Daphnia pulex: one gene and its partner. The protein of the gene in region 2 binds, or shares a complex with, the protein of the main gene of each other region. Links are inferred from orthologs where the notes say so. Each region holds a gene or a part of one and is shown on either strand. Other genes may lie near its edges.

The links. Proteins that work in one complex are often made in the same cells at the same time.
Region 1: DNA polymerase delta catalytic subunit-like (region 2) and DNA polymerase delta subunit 2-like share a complex: the UniProt entries of both Homo sapiens proteins name them as parts of the tetrameric DNA polymerase delta complex. The link is inferred for Daphnia pulex from reciprocal best matches to the Homo sapiens genes POLD1 and POLD2.

What each region holds. Positions count from the first base shown.
Region 1 is NC_060018.1:6,862,450-6,868,295, forward strand, and holds DNA polymerase delta subunit 2-like, read right to left. Parts: upstream 3,727-5,846; 5' UTR 3,668-3,726; coding exon 3,505-3,667; intron 3,439-3,504; coding exon 3,389-3,438; intron 3,319-3,388; coding exon 3,247-3,318; intron 3,166-3,246; coding exon 2,921-3,165; intron 2,855-2,920; coding exon 2,706-2,854; intron 2,639-2,705; coding exon 2,511-2,638; intron 2,427-2,510; coding exon 2,039-2,426; intron 1,971-2,038; coding exon 1,831-1,970; 3' UTR 1,723-1,830; downstream 1-1,722. Other genes in the region: NADH-cytochrome b5 reductase 3-like, read right to left, coding at 1-16, 104-308, 378-496, 581-806, 1,155-1,172; differentially expressed in FDCP 8 homolog, read left to right, coding at 3,955-4,372, 4,435-4,599, 4,694-4,935, 5,002-5,133, 5,201-5,290, 5,352-5,528. UniProt on the Homo sapiens protein: Accessory component of both the DNA polymerase delta complex and the DNA polymerase zeta complex.
Region 2 is NC_060019.1:7,339,192-7,343,839, reverse strand, and holds the end of DNA polymerase delta catalytic subunit-like, read right to left. Parts: intron 4,591-4,648; coding exon 4,354-4,590; intron 4,293-4,353; coding exon 4,127-4,292; intron 4,064-4,126; coding exon 3,506-4,063; intron 3,438-3,505; coding exon 3,265-3,437; intron 3,198-3,264; coding exon 3,060-3,197; intron 2,985-3,059; coding exon 2,894-2,984; intron 2,809-2,893; coding exon 2,650-2,808; intron 2,586-2,649; coding exon 2,450-2,585; intron 2,390-2,449; coding exon 2,263-2,389; intron 2,198-2,262; coding exon 2,060-2,197; intron 1,992-2,059; coding exon 1,901-1,991; 3' UTR 1,826-1,900; downstream 1-1,825. Other genes in the region: mitotic spindle assembly checkpoint protein MAD1-like, read right to left, coding at 46-195, 264-680, 742-1,206, 1,273-1,332. UniProt on the Homo sapiens protein: As the catalytic component of the trimeric (Pol-delta3 complex) and tetrameric DNA polymerase delta complexes (Pol-delta4 complex), plays a crucial role in high fidelity genome replication, including in lagging strand synthesis, and repair.

The sequences.
Region 1 (5,846 bases), on a different chromosome or scaffold from region 2:
GTAATTCCAGTTCCACCTTCATAACAAAGCAAGTAAATTGGTTAGCACAACCCGAAAAATCTATTAACTACCATAAATTATATTAAATATTTATTTTGTATACCTGCGATCATATTAAGTTTTTTGAAACCCATATTAAAAGAAGGTGATTTTTTATCCGGCTTTATGGCAAACAATCCTGGGCCTTGGTGTACCAACAACCCAGATGGACCTCGGACGTCAATGGATTCTCCGATGGCAAGGTTTTCTAAATATTGTGTTAATTTTCCTCCATCCGGGAATTTCGGATTAACATCTTTGAAATAAACCTAAATAATCAAAAGATCAAAAGAAAACGATTTTTACTAATATTTTTTCAGACTGCTAACTAGCAATACCTTCACGACTAAATCGAAATATCCCTTTTCCTCATCACACGATACAGGGGTATAAGCGCGAATTACCAGCTGGTCATTGACTCTTGCTGATAAATAGACATGCTGACCAACAGGAAGACCTTGTGAAAAAAAAGTGTTAATAAAGGGTTAATTACAAAAAAAAAAAAACAATTTCTTCATCACCAGTTGATTATTGCTATTACCAAGAACATGTTGTGGAGAAGGGAGGGCAAACCTGAATCTCCTGGTGTCATGGTTGATTACATGGCGTTCAATCAATTTTAAAGGATATTTTGTTTGAGGATCAAGTAGTGTCTTTAATTCCTTCTGTTTGGCAGATTTTTCTTTTGGTTGGAGCCAGTTGAAATATAACTTTGCAGCAACAGCAGTAAAAACCACAATACCAATGCCAGTGACAATAGGTAAGCTCTACATCAAATATTTACAAAATTTTATCAATTAAAATTATATTTAGAGCTCTACAAATATGCAAAAGATTTTTAATCCAAAAAGTAGTAGCCTAGCATAATAGTGAAAGAGTAGTTAATAGCTACATCAAATTTTAATTGTGAAATTGGGTCCACATTAAAGATAGTCACAATTCAATAATAACAATATATATGTTTAAATAAATAAGCATGTTGCAAACGCGTCGTCAAATGCAATAATTGACATTTTTTTTACTTGAATCAAAAATGAGTTCATCATTACTTTTGGAATACCTAGATGTAGTCTTAAAGTTTTTTAAGGATTATTTGGTTGAAAAATTATAAATACCTTTCCAAGGGCGTCCATTTCAGAGAAAGGTAAGTTCTTAATTCACTACCTTTGATTTCTAGGGTGATGAAGTATTCTGGGTTTTTCTATCACGTAGCACGTATGTTGGGTCGATAAGGAGAAAGTTTGACTTAGAAATTTGGTCAGAGTCCTCAGACTCAGAGATGAGCAGAAGTAGTAGTGAACTTCAAAATGAGCAACGTTGCCTTTCGAGATTATAAAATATGTTAAATCGGACTGTGAATCTGTGATACCATGCCGGCATGCCTCATTCGCTCATTGACTCAAATTCTGAATAGTTTTTCCTCTTGCATGTAGGCCTACCGTCGTTGTGCGTTGGTGCGTATACCGGATCGTCCACGATTTCCTGAAATTCAATACACATATTAATATCTTACATCTAAACGTTAGACTAAACTCAACTATAACTGTTATTTTTTAACTTTTTTTAGTTTTTTCACAAACACTTAAAATAAACAGAGTTTAAATTACATTGTGATGGAGTTTTGTGATTTTTTTACAAATCAATGAATAAAGTTACTATTAAATATTTAAAATACTTTATTACCAAGTTTATTTTTACTCCGAAAGAATTGCCAATCATTCAAAAACGTGATCTGCATAAACATGAAAATCTTGAATAATGCTTAGTTAACTAGTATTGAAAGCTAATCCTTCAATGATCGACGCCAGAATCTTCATCGGTTCCAAAACTCAGCGTGAAGCATTCCAAAGTATTCGCGTCAACAATTACAATGGTTCCCGATTCTGAAAACCTTGGCAATGAAATAAGCCGGACAGGGTGACCATCAGCGCCTGTAAAATTAGGAGATTGATACGTTAAAGATACCCTAGAAATAATGTGTTATTTGCTGAAAACATACTTTTCCACAAACGATCACCAAATGATTCCTGATTTCCAGCGAAATAAATATCAGGACAAGTGTTAAAAATGAAAGGATCGTCGTCATCGTATGGATAACAACCTAAAGTATCTGGGGCAGTCGGACACATGTGTCTCCATTCTAAAGTTTTTTCCATGGCGTCTAACGGATGCTCTAGAGAAGAGTTCATCAGGATATCCAAAACAGGTTGCCCAGAGTTTCCCATGACTATGCGACCTCCAATTCGGCAATTATATGGATTGCTAACTGCATGGAATGTAGATAACTGATAACTTTGCGGAAGCAGACAGTGGTGTAATGGCTGTTGAGGAAGGACAAAATTAGCTGGATCATGGGCTCCGGGCATTACATCCACGGTTATGGAACTCTGCAGTTATCATAAATGACGACATAAATGAAGATCTTTTAACAACTTTATAAATTTATTTTATAATATTCGGTTCTTACGTACTGCTAATTGGAAAATGATGTCATCCAACTGTTGAACAGCTTCAATGCTAGCTACCATATTATTGCGCATCAGATATTTTGCTTTGTCCAAAATATGGCGATCTTGAGTTGCAGAACTTAACGAGTTCCCTAATAAAAAGAAAAATAGAACTGAATTGAAATAATAGGAGTTCAGGAATTAATTCATTTGTTTTACCTGCAATGATTAATCTTGAAACTTTAGACATTATTTCTTGAACTTCCGGAGTCCCAGTTTTCCCCATCAATGTGAAAATCATTTCTTGCATCAGTAAATATGAGTCATTACCACTTCCTAAATCTAAGCCAGATATTAAGGCAATGAATCTAAAAAGTAATAAAACTCAGATTAGTAACATGATAAAACATAGCTGTTGATTTTAAGATTGGCACCTAGGTGTGCTGAAGTCAATTTTGGGGGAGTTCACTACCACAGGCATGTCAGCAGGACAGATATCCTCAACAATAAACTTTCCTGAATCATCTTCATGGCCAAGCAATGCAATAACAACCCCAGTGACAAATTCCCCTACATTTGTGTTGCCAACAAGCAAAATGCGTTGCAATTCATCTTCCAATATTAGAATATCAGTTCCTGAAACATATCTTGCTTTGGGAGGTAGTGGTAATACTTGATGCTGAAATACAGAGTAATTATGATATACAGTTATACACTAATGAAGTCATGAAAATGTAGATGGTAATTTAAACCTTATTACCTCATCACTGACTTCTCTTAAAATACTTGGTTTTAGTTCTTGCTGTTTATAGATGGTCCCAAACACAAAAACCTTAGATTTATAAAGATTATGTTATGAAATTCCCATGAAAATTTTATGAGAAGAAAAATGAATACAACACCTTTTCATTGGGAACTAGGTCAACAAGCTTCTTGATGGGATATTGCTTACCTTAACAAGACAAAGTAATGAATTCAGTTATTGGTTACACAGCTCATTGTGGAATTTGACTCTTACCCCATTTCTTTTCAACGCGTTCCTCAAGTAAAGTTCGAAATTTCGTAAGCCTGACGGCATATATACCGGCATATTGCCTATTGAAATCACGATTGACCAACTTAAACGTACTTGACAAGTCCTCATAGTCCAGTTCTTTGCGTTCATAACGAACAGCCTCCATTCTTTCTCTAATCGAATACAGAACCCGCCAAAAGTACTAAGACAGCAGACAACAAAAACAACACGAGAGGGTGCGCTACTGCACGATTTAAAAAAAAGCGAACAACAATAAATGCGAACTCACAGCGTTGCATTGTTTACTTACTCAGCAGTCAGCACAGCAGAAGAAATTAAGGATACAAAAGATTAGTGTCAGTTGTCCCGCAAAAAAAAAAAAACGAACGAACAAACAAACAAAAAAGCATTTGTATGCAATGGTGATTCGTGTCTTTTCAGGTTTGTGTTGAAATGTCTGTCAGTGACACCTCCAAAAAGAGTGATTCAAACGGAGACGAATCTGGTAGCTTGCATTGTCTTCCAGTGGATGAAAATTATTATTCCTCGCAACACGAAGAAGTATGGAATATGGAAAAGACCATTGACATTCAGCTAGCTATCGATACTTGTAAAGAAAAAATTCTTGCGTTGGAGGAAATATCTGAAGAAAAACGCCTATTAGTACAGAGATTAGTTAAGCTGAGACTTAGACTTCAAGAAGTACAAGAACTTGAAATATACATGGATCCTAAGAAAATGAAGGTGGTGCAAAGCCACAAGTTTGTTTGTCAAACTGTAACACAGTTGAAATTTCATCCATCCCAAATATATTGTGAAACATGTTCTGGCCTTATTTGGATACCAGTTCAAAGTTGCTTTGTTTGTTTAGGTATTTTTCTATGATGTTGGAGTTCATGCTCAAGATTTAATATTTTTTTATTTAATTTTTAGAATGTGATTACATATCTCATGGACAATGTCTGAATAGTGTCAAACGAATATGCGCTTCTGTTAAAGTTAAAGAAAATCCTTGCTACGTTCTAGAAATTTGTCCAGAGAAAAGTTTAAGAAATCAAAATTATCGTTGTGCTGAATGCAAAGCGGGAATATCCTTCAGTAAGTAAATCCTTAAATCGTATACCTAGATTATTTTCGAAGTTAAGTTTATTCTAGTCTCACTACATCTGTTATCATTTTTATTGGGTTGTAGACACTGCCCTTACTCAACCCCTCTTATGTGATTATTCTGGTAATTACTTCTGCAGTGAATGTCATTGGGGAAGTTTAAGTGTAATTCCTTCAAGGGTAGTGTTGAATTGGGACTTTCATGAATATCCAGTTTCTAAAGGATCAAAACAATACTTAAATTTAATGATGAAGAAATCAATTATCAATTTAGAAACCATCAACCCCAAGCTATTTAGTTTTGTAGAAGAACTAGCTTATGTCAAGGTAAATTTAATATGTTGAGTAAAATCTGTATTTCAAAGAAAAAATTGAGACATTTTATTTTTTTAGCGTTTAAGAAGCGATTTTATGATCATGAAGGAATACATCCTAACATGCAAAGATGCGTTGGAAGCTAAATTACTTCGGCTTTTAGAAGATCGTCAACATTATGTAGAAAATTCTGATTACTATAGTATTCAAGTAAGTAAAACCAAAGCAACAATTCTAGTACTCGAAATTCATACAAATCTTCTTCATATTTTAATAGGATCTTATGGACATTGACAAAAAAGATTTGATATCCTACCTTGAACCTATACACAATCAATTTTTAATGCATATTACGCAAGATTGTGTGGTATTTTATTTTATTTTACAACTAACAATTCCTACTTGTGTTTAAAACTTTCATTAATTAGGGATGTCGGGGTAAAGGTCATGTATGTCGATTATGTGGTCAACTTCCGGAACTCTTCCCCTTCGAAATTTCTGCGACGCAGTGTGAGGGCTGTTACAGCGTTTATCACCGACATTGTGCCAACAAAAGAGATGTTGTTTGCCCCAAGTGTGGAAGAGTTAATCATACAATTAAATGAACATTTTGGTTTGTTATCTGTTGTTTCACATATTGTAGATTAAAATTATGAAAACCAAAATAATTATTTGTTTAAGAGTATCATAAAATTTTTAAATTCTGTCAAAATATATGAACAAAACAAAGAGAATTATTCATGTACGTGTAATTTTTTATTGTCCATTTAAAAATGAAATTAATAGCATTTCATATTACAGAGGCACTTTTCACATAGGGTATTTGGAATATTGTTTACAATCAGATAAAACGCGACAATTTTGGATTTCACAAATTCTATGATTATTCAAAAAAATCCCAATTGAATTAGAGTTGGTCAAGA
Region 2 (4,648 bases):
CTATTATTAAAGATACAAAGAGTAATTTTATTAGTAGACAATCACCTGTAAATCAGGTATAGCTTGACACTGTTCCTTGTATCTTTGAACACTCTCCTGCAAGGCAGATATTTTCTCCTTTAACAGCAGTTCATTTGCAGCTGTTTCTCGATATAATTTATTGGTCTCTTGCAGCTGCAGAAGCTCTTTTTCTAACTGAAATTAAAAAATGGAAGAATATTAAGTTTTTTTGTTTGTTTCATAAACTGCAATTAAGCACACACCTGGGGAATTCTAGATAGTTTTGCTTCTTGAGATTGAGAAAAAGTTGTTCTCTGAGCAAAAAGTGCATTCTGCATTTCAAATATTACTTGACTCTGCTGCTCAATAACAACCTGATGGTTGGATGATGGGCTCACCACTCTTTCTTTAAGTTTAAGTTGATTTTTCGCTTCCTCTGCTTCCATTTGATATTGACTTACTTTCAATAGAGCATTTTCCAATTTGAGTTCTAACTTCTTGATTTTTTCTTCATACCCTTGTTCAATATCAATGATTTTCTGTTCTGATACAGCAAGTTCCTTACTACATGATAGCTTTTCCTCCGCAGAAAGTAACTTAATTTGCTCAACTGCTTCTGTTTTCAATAGATTTTCTTTAGACAATTGTTCATTTTTTAGATGAAGTTGCTTGATTTCCACCTAAACAAAATCTGTTATTTCTAGTTTAAATAAGTCAATGAATTTTTTTTAGTAAACTTACATAAAGATCATCAATTTTATCTTCATAATGTTTAACTTTGGTCTTGCATGTCTCTTTCAAATTTGACAGGTCATGCTCGAGTTGATCCTTGGCTGTCACAAAATTATTCAATTTCATTTCTGTCTTGATAATTTTCTGCTGCAATTCAAGAATGTTGGCCTGTTTTTCTGATAATTTCTGTTCATACTGGGCTCCAACATCTAGCTTTGTTGACTTATTAAGTGATTGGCTGAACGATTCAGCTGCATTTCTTTTAGAAAAAAGAGAAGATTCTCCTGTAAAAGAACTTTCTCCAGTAACACTAGAATCAAAGCGAATTTTCTTGGGAAGAAAAGAATCCAACGTAGAAGTCCGCAAGGATGAGGTAGAGACAGCCATGCTTGCAGGTTTCCTCTTCATACTTAAAAACTCCATATTAAGAGGACTTCCACCTTCTTGGTTTAATTCATTGAAATATCTCTGAACCTACCAAAGAAAAAAGAATGAGTATTTAAAGAAATGCTTAATAAGTATTTGTTATGAACATTTTACCTGATGTCGGAGGACAGTCGAATCTAAGTCATCGACCACATTTCTAGAGGAGTTTTCCATTTTTTTTATATGAAGTCAGTATGCTTAGTGGAAGGACGTAATTGGTAATTAACAAATTAAAATCTGTTTATCTGATCACAAATTAGAGACGTCAAGTCGGTCAACTTTTAAAAAATGTAGTAGTGTTCAAACTCAGCGTCGCCGTCGTCTGTAAACTGTAACTAAATCAAGAGATGCTATATGGAATCCCTACTTGGTGGGAACGGAGTTCGGAAAACCGCAAAAAGAATGTCGTTCAGTTTCCGCAATTTACTTCTTTTTTTTTTTTTTTAAATTTGGATTTATGCTTGGCAGATGGTGATTAGGATATTTATAAGTTAAGTATGTAACACAATATAAAAGGAATTTATCACTGAACCGAAATATCTAAATTTTCGTCCAAAATATTTTGTAACAGTGCAGTTTTTTATTCTGAGCCGAATTTTTTAGCTTGCCTGAAAATTTTTGTTCGTTTAACCGGCTTAACACTTAAATGAATGAATCGAAATAAACGTTTTCTTTATAAATTTTATTGTTTCGAATTTAATTTACAGCCAAAAACATTCGACTTCGACAGATTAGACGAGAACTAAGGTTGGCCAAACCTTTTCATAAGTTTTTCTTGTTCACAAAGGTCCTTTTGAACTTTCTTGCGCATGTAAAAGATGGGGCAATCCCGACTAAGTTTAAAAATTAATCAATTAAAACATGAGTCTCAATTCAAATACACAACACAAATACAACTTACTTTGAACAGAGAACCTCCTCGTTAAGGCTACCTTGACAACGCTGGCACTCAGTCCAAAGACGGTTGAATTTTTCTTCAAGAGCGTAAAGTTGACCAACTTCTCTCTGATAAAATTCCGACTCTTTCGGCTTACAAAATCTGTTTAATTTTATTATTAGGATATTGAAATTTAATAAAAGGCGAAAAATTATTATGATTATTACTTGCAAACGGCACTGTCATTTGGAAGGACAGTCTTACATCCAATACAAGTTGATTTGCGGGAAGTAAACTTCGCCAGCCCACCTACTTTTGAGGTGATAACTGAACGTGTTCGAGTATGGTCGCCATCTAAACAAATAAATAGGTTATATGCGCTACATGTATTCACACAATGTTGTGTCTGTTTACGTAATAACGAAGATTCCGCTTTGGATCCAAGGATTGGTTCGAAAATTCGGACAAGAGGTTTCGAAAGTTGATTTTCTAAATAGTATTGTGCATCTATGGGTATGCTGTTTTCCAGAACATAAATAGGATCTTCAGCCTAAAATAACAGTAAACAATTAACAGATTCACGAAAAATTTCAAAGGAGCTGAAAAATGTGTACTTTGAGATAGGCTGGAGTGTTTTTCGCGGCGGCAATAATGACGTAAGGGACTCGATCACCTAATTTTGGAGCAGTACCAGCGTCTCGTTTACGCATTTTGTGAGCTAATTCCACGTGTGCCTGTTTGTTAGCGTAGTCCTTATCCGTCTTGGTCAGCTCCTACAACCCCAACACGATAGACTTAACAGTTTTAAAACATCCTCGGAACGTGACAATCATATTTTTATTTTCTCTTAGTAGTTACCTTAGTAATTACTAGGAGTGAAATGTCGACCTTGTTGCAAAGCAAGTCCGAAATTGTTTGTTTTGCGTACTCCAAGGCTCCATCTGGATCTCTATTATTTTTTTGTTAAAATAAAGGAAAAGTATACTTTATATTAGGATATCCATGAAGCGTGACAACTGTTTACCGATCCATCAGGATTTTCTGAAGACAGGTGTTGATAAGGTTAGCGACTAGCTGACAGTTGTCTCGTCGAACTGTTTCAATACCTTTGCAATCCATCTTGTCAAACTGTTCAGGTTTGGTCCAGTACAGTCCTGCGTACCTATAAATAAGTAGGAAGCCGTTATAAAATCGTTTCTGCAATTAGTACATTTGAAAGCAGAATTTACCTCTTTTTGTTGATTAATAAATAGGGGAAATAAACTTTTTCGAATTCCAAATTAATGGGCTTGATGAACTTAGCCGATACAAATTCGGCTGCTTCCCGACCTAAAACCATCGCTTCTGCTACCGTAGATACACCGAACTTCACCATCACAGAATCTGTGTCACCGTAAATTACCTACAAAATGTTCAGATTCAATTGAAACCGATAAATGTGTTTGCATTGTGCAATTCTTTTTCGTTTACCTTGGCATCATGAGCATAGCCATTCTCAACGCGAAACTTGGCTTCCACTTCCGTACTAGTTTTCTCAATCATCATTCGGCCGAACGCTGTTACACTTTGCGAAATTTCTAGACACGGTAATTTTCCGACTTGAGCGCCAGTGAAACCATAAACACTGTTGGCTGAAATCTTTAAGGCGAGCTGGCGACCGTCAAGAACCTTCTTTCTTAGAGGATCTGTCTCCACAGCCAAATCCTTCTTGGCTTTTTTCCTGGCCGCCAACAGTGCTTCCAAAATCTCCGGTAAGAGTCCTTTCCGCACGGAGGCCTTTACAAAGTAGTTGCCTGCAGGTGTTTTGATATATTGGTCCTCTTTCAGCTTATCCTTGTCACGCGGATTCAACAAGGAAGTATAGCACAAGTTGTGGGCCATCATAATGGAAGGATACAGCGAAGAAAAATCCAATGTAGCGATGGGTTGACTGTAGTAACCTCGAATAGGTTCGATAACTGTCGCACCTTCAAATTCCTCTCCCGCCTCTGCTTTATGGACGGGCATCAATAAGCCCTGTTCCTTGGCCTATTCAAAGTGCAAAAGTTTTGTAAGGATTTTCTAAAATATTTATAGCTTAAGTTTCCTTACTTTTCTTAACAACTGTGAGACAACTTTGATCTGTTGGCCACGAGTTAATAGGTAGGATAGGGGTACGCCTGTTACACGAGCCATTTCCATGTAGTTAGTCAAGCACATGAGCTTGTCTAGCAGGCGAAGTGGTAGATGGGCATCTTTAAGGCAGTAAACCGCAAGTCTGTAAGACTCAAAGAAATGTTGAAGACATAAAAAGTATACAAGTTATTTGAACTGAATACCGTCGACGAGTTTGCGGATTGCCTTCTTGCAATTCCGTGATAATTGAATGATGGACGTCTTCCTTTTGCTCGCATAAAAAGTGGTAGCTGACCGAATTGAGAGTGTAGGAACGAAGTTTGTAATCACGTAGCAATACTAGAAGAAGATCAAACTGGACACGGCCTTCAATGTTGATGCTTTTGTTTTCCCTGCGCCCCATTTGCTTACTCTGAATCATCGTTTCTTTAATAGCCGATCTAATAGCATTGTAATTTTTAATTAATTATTATTATTTGATTAATTATTAATCGAATT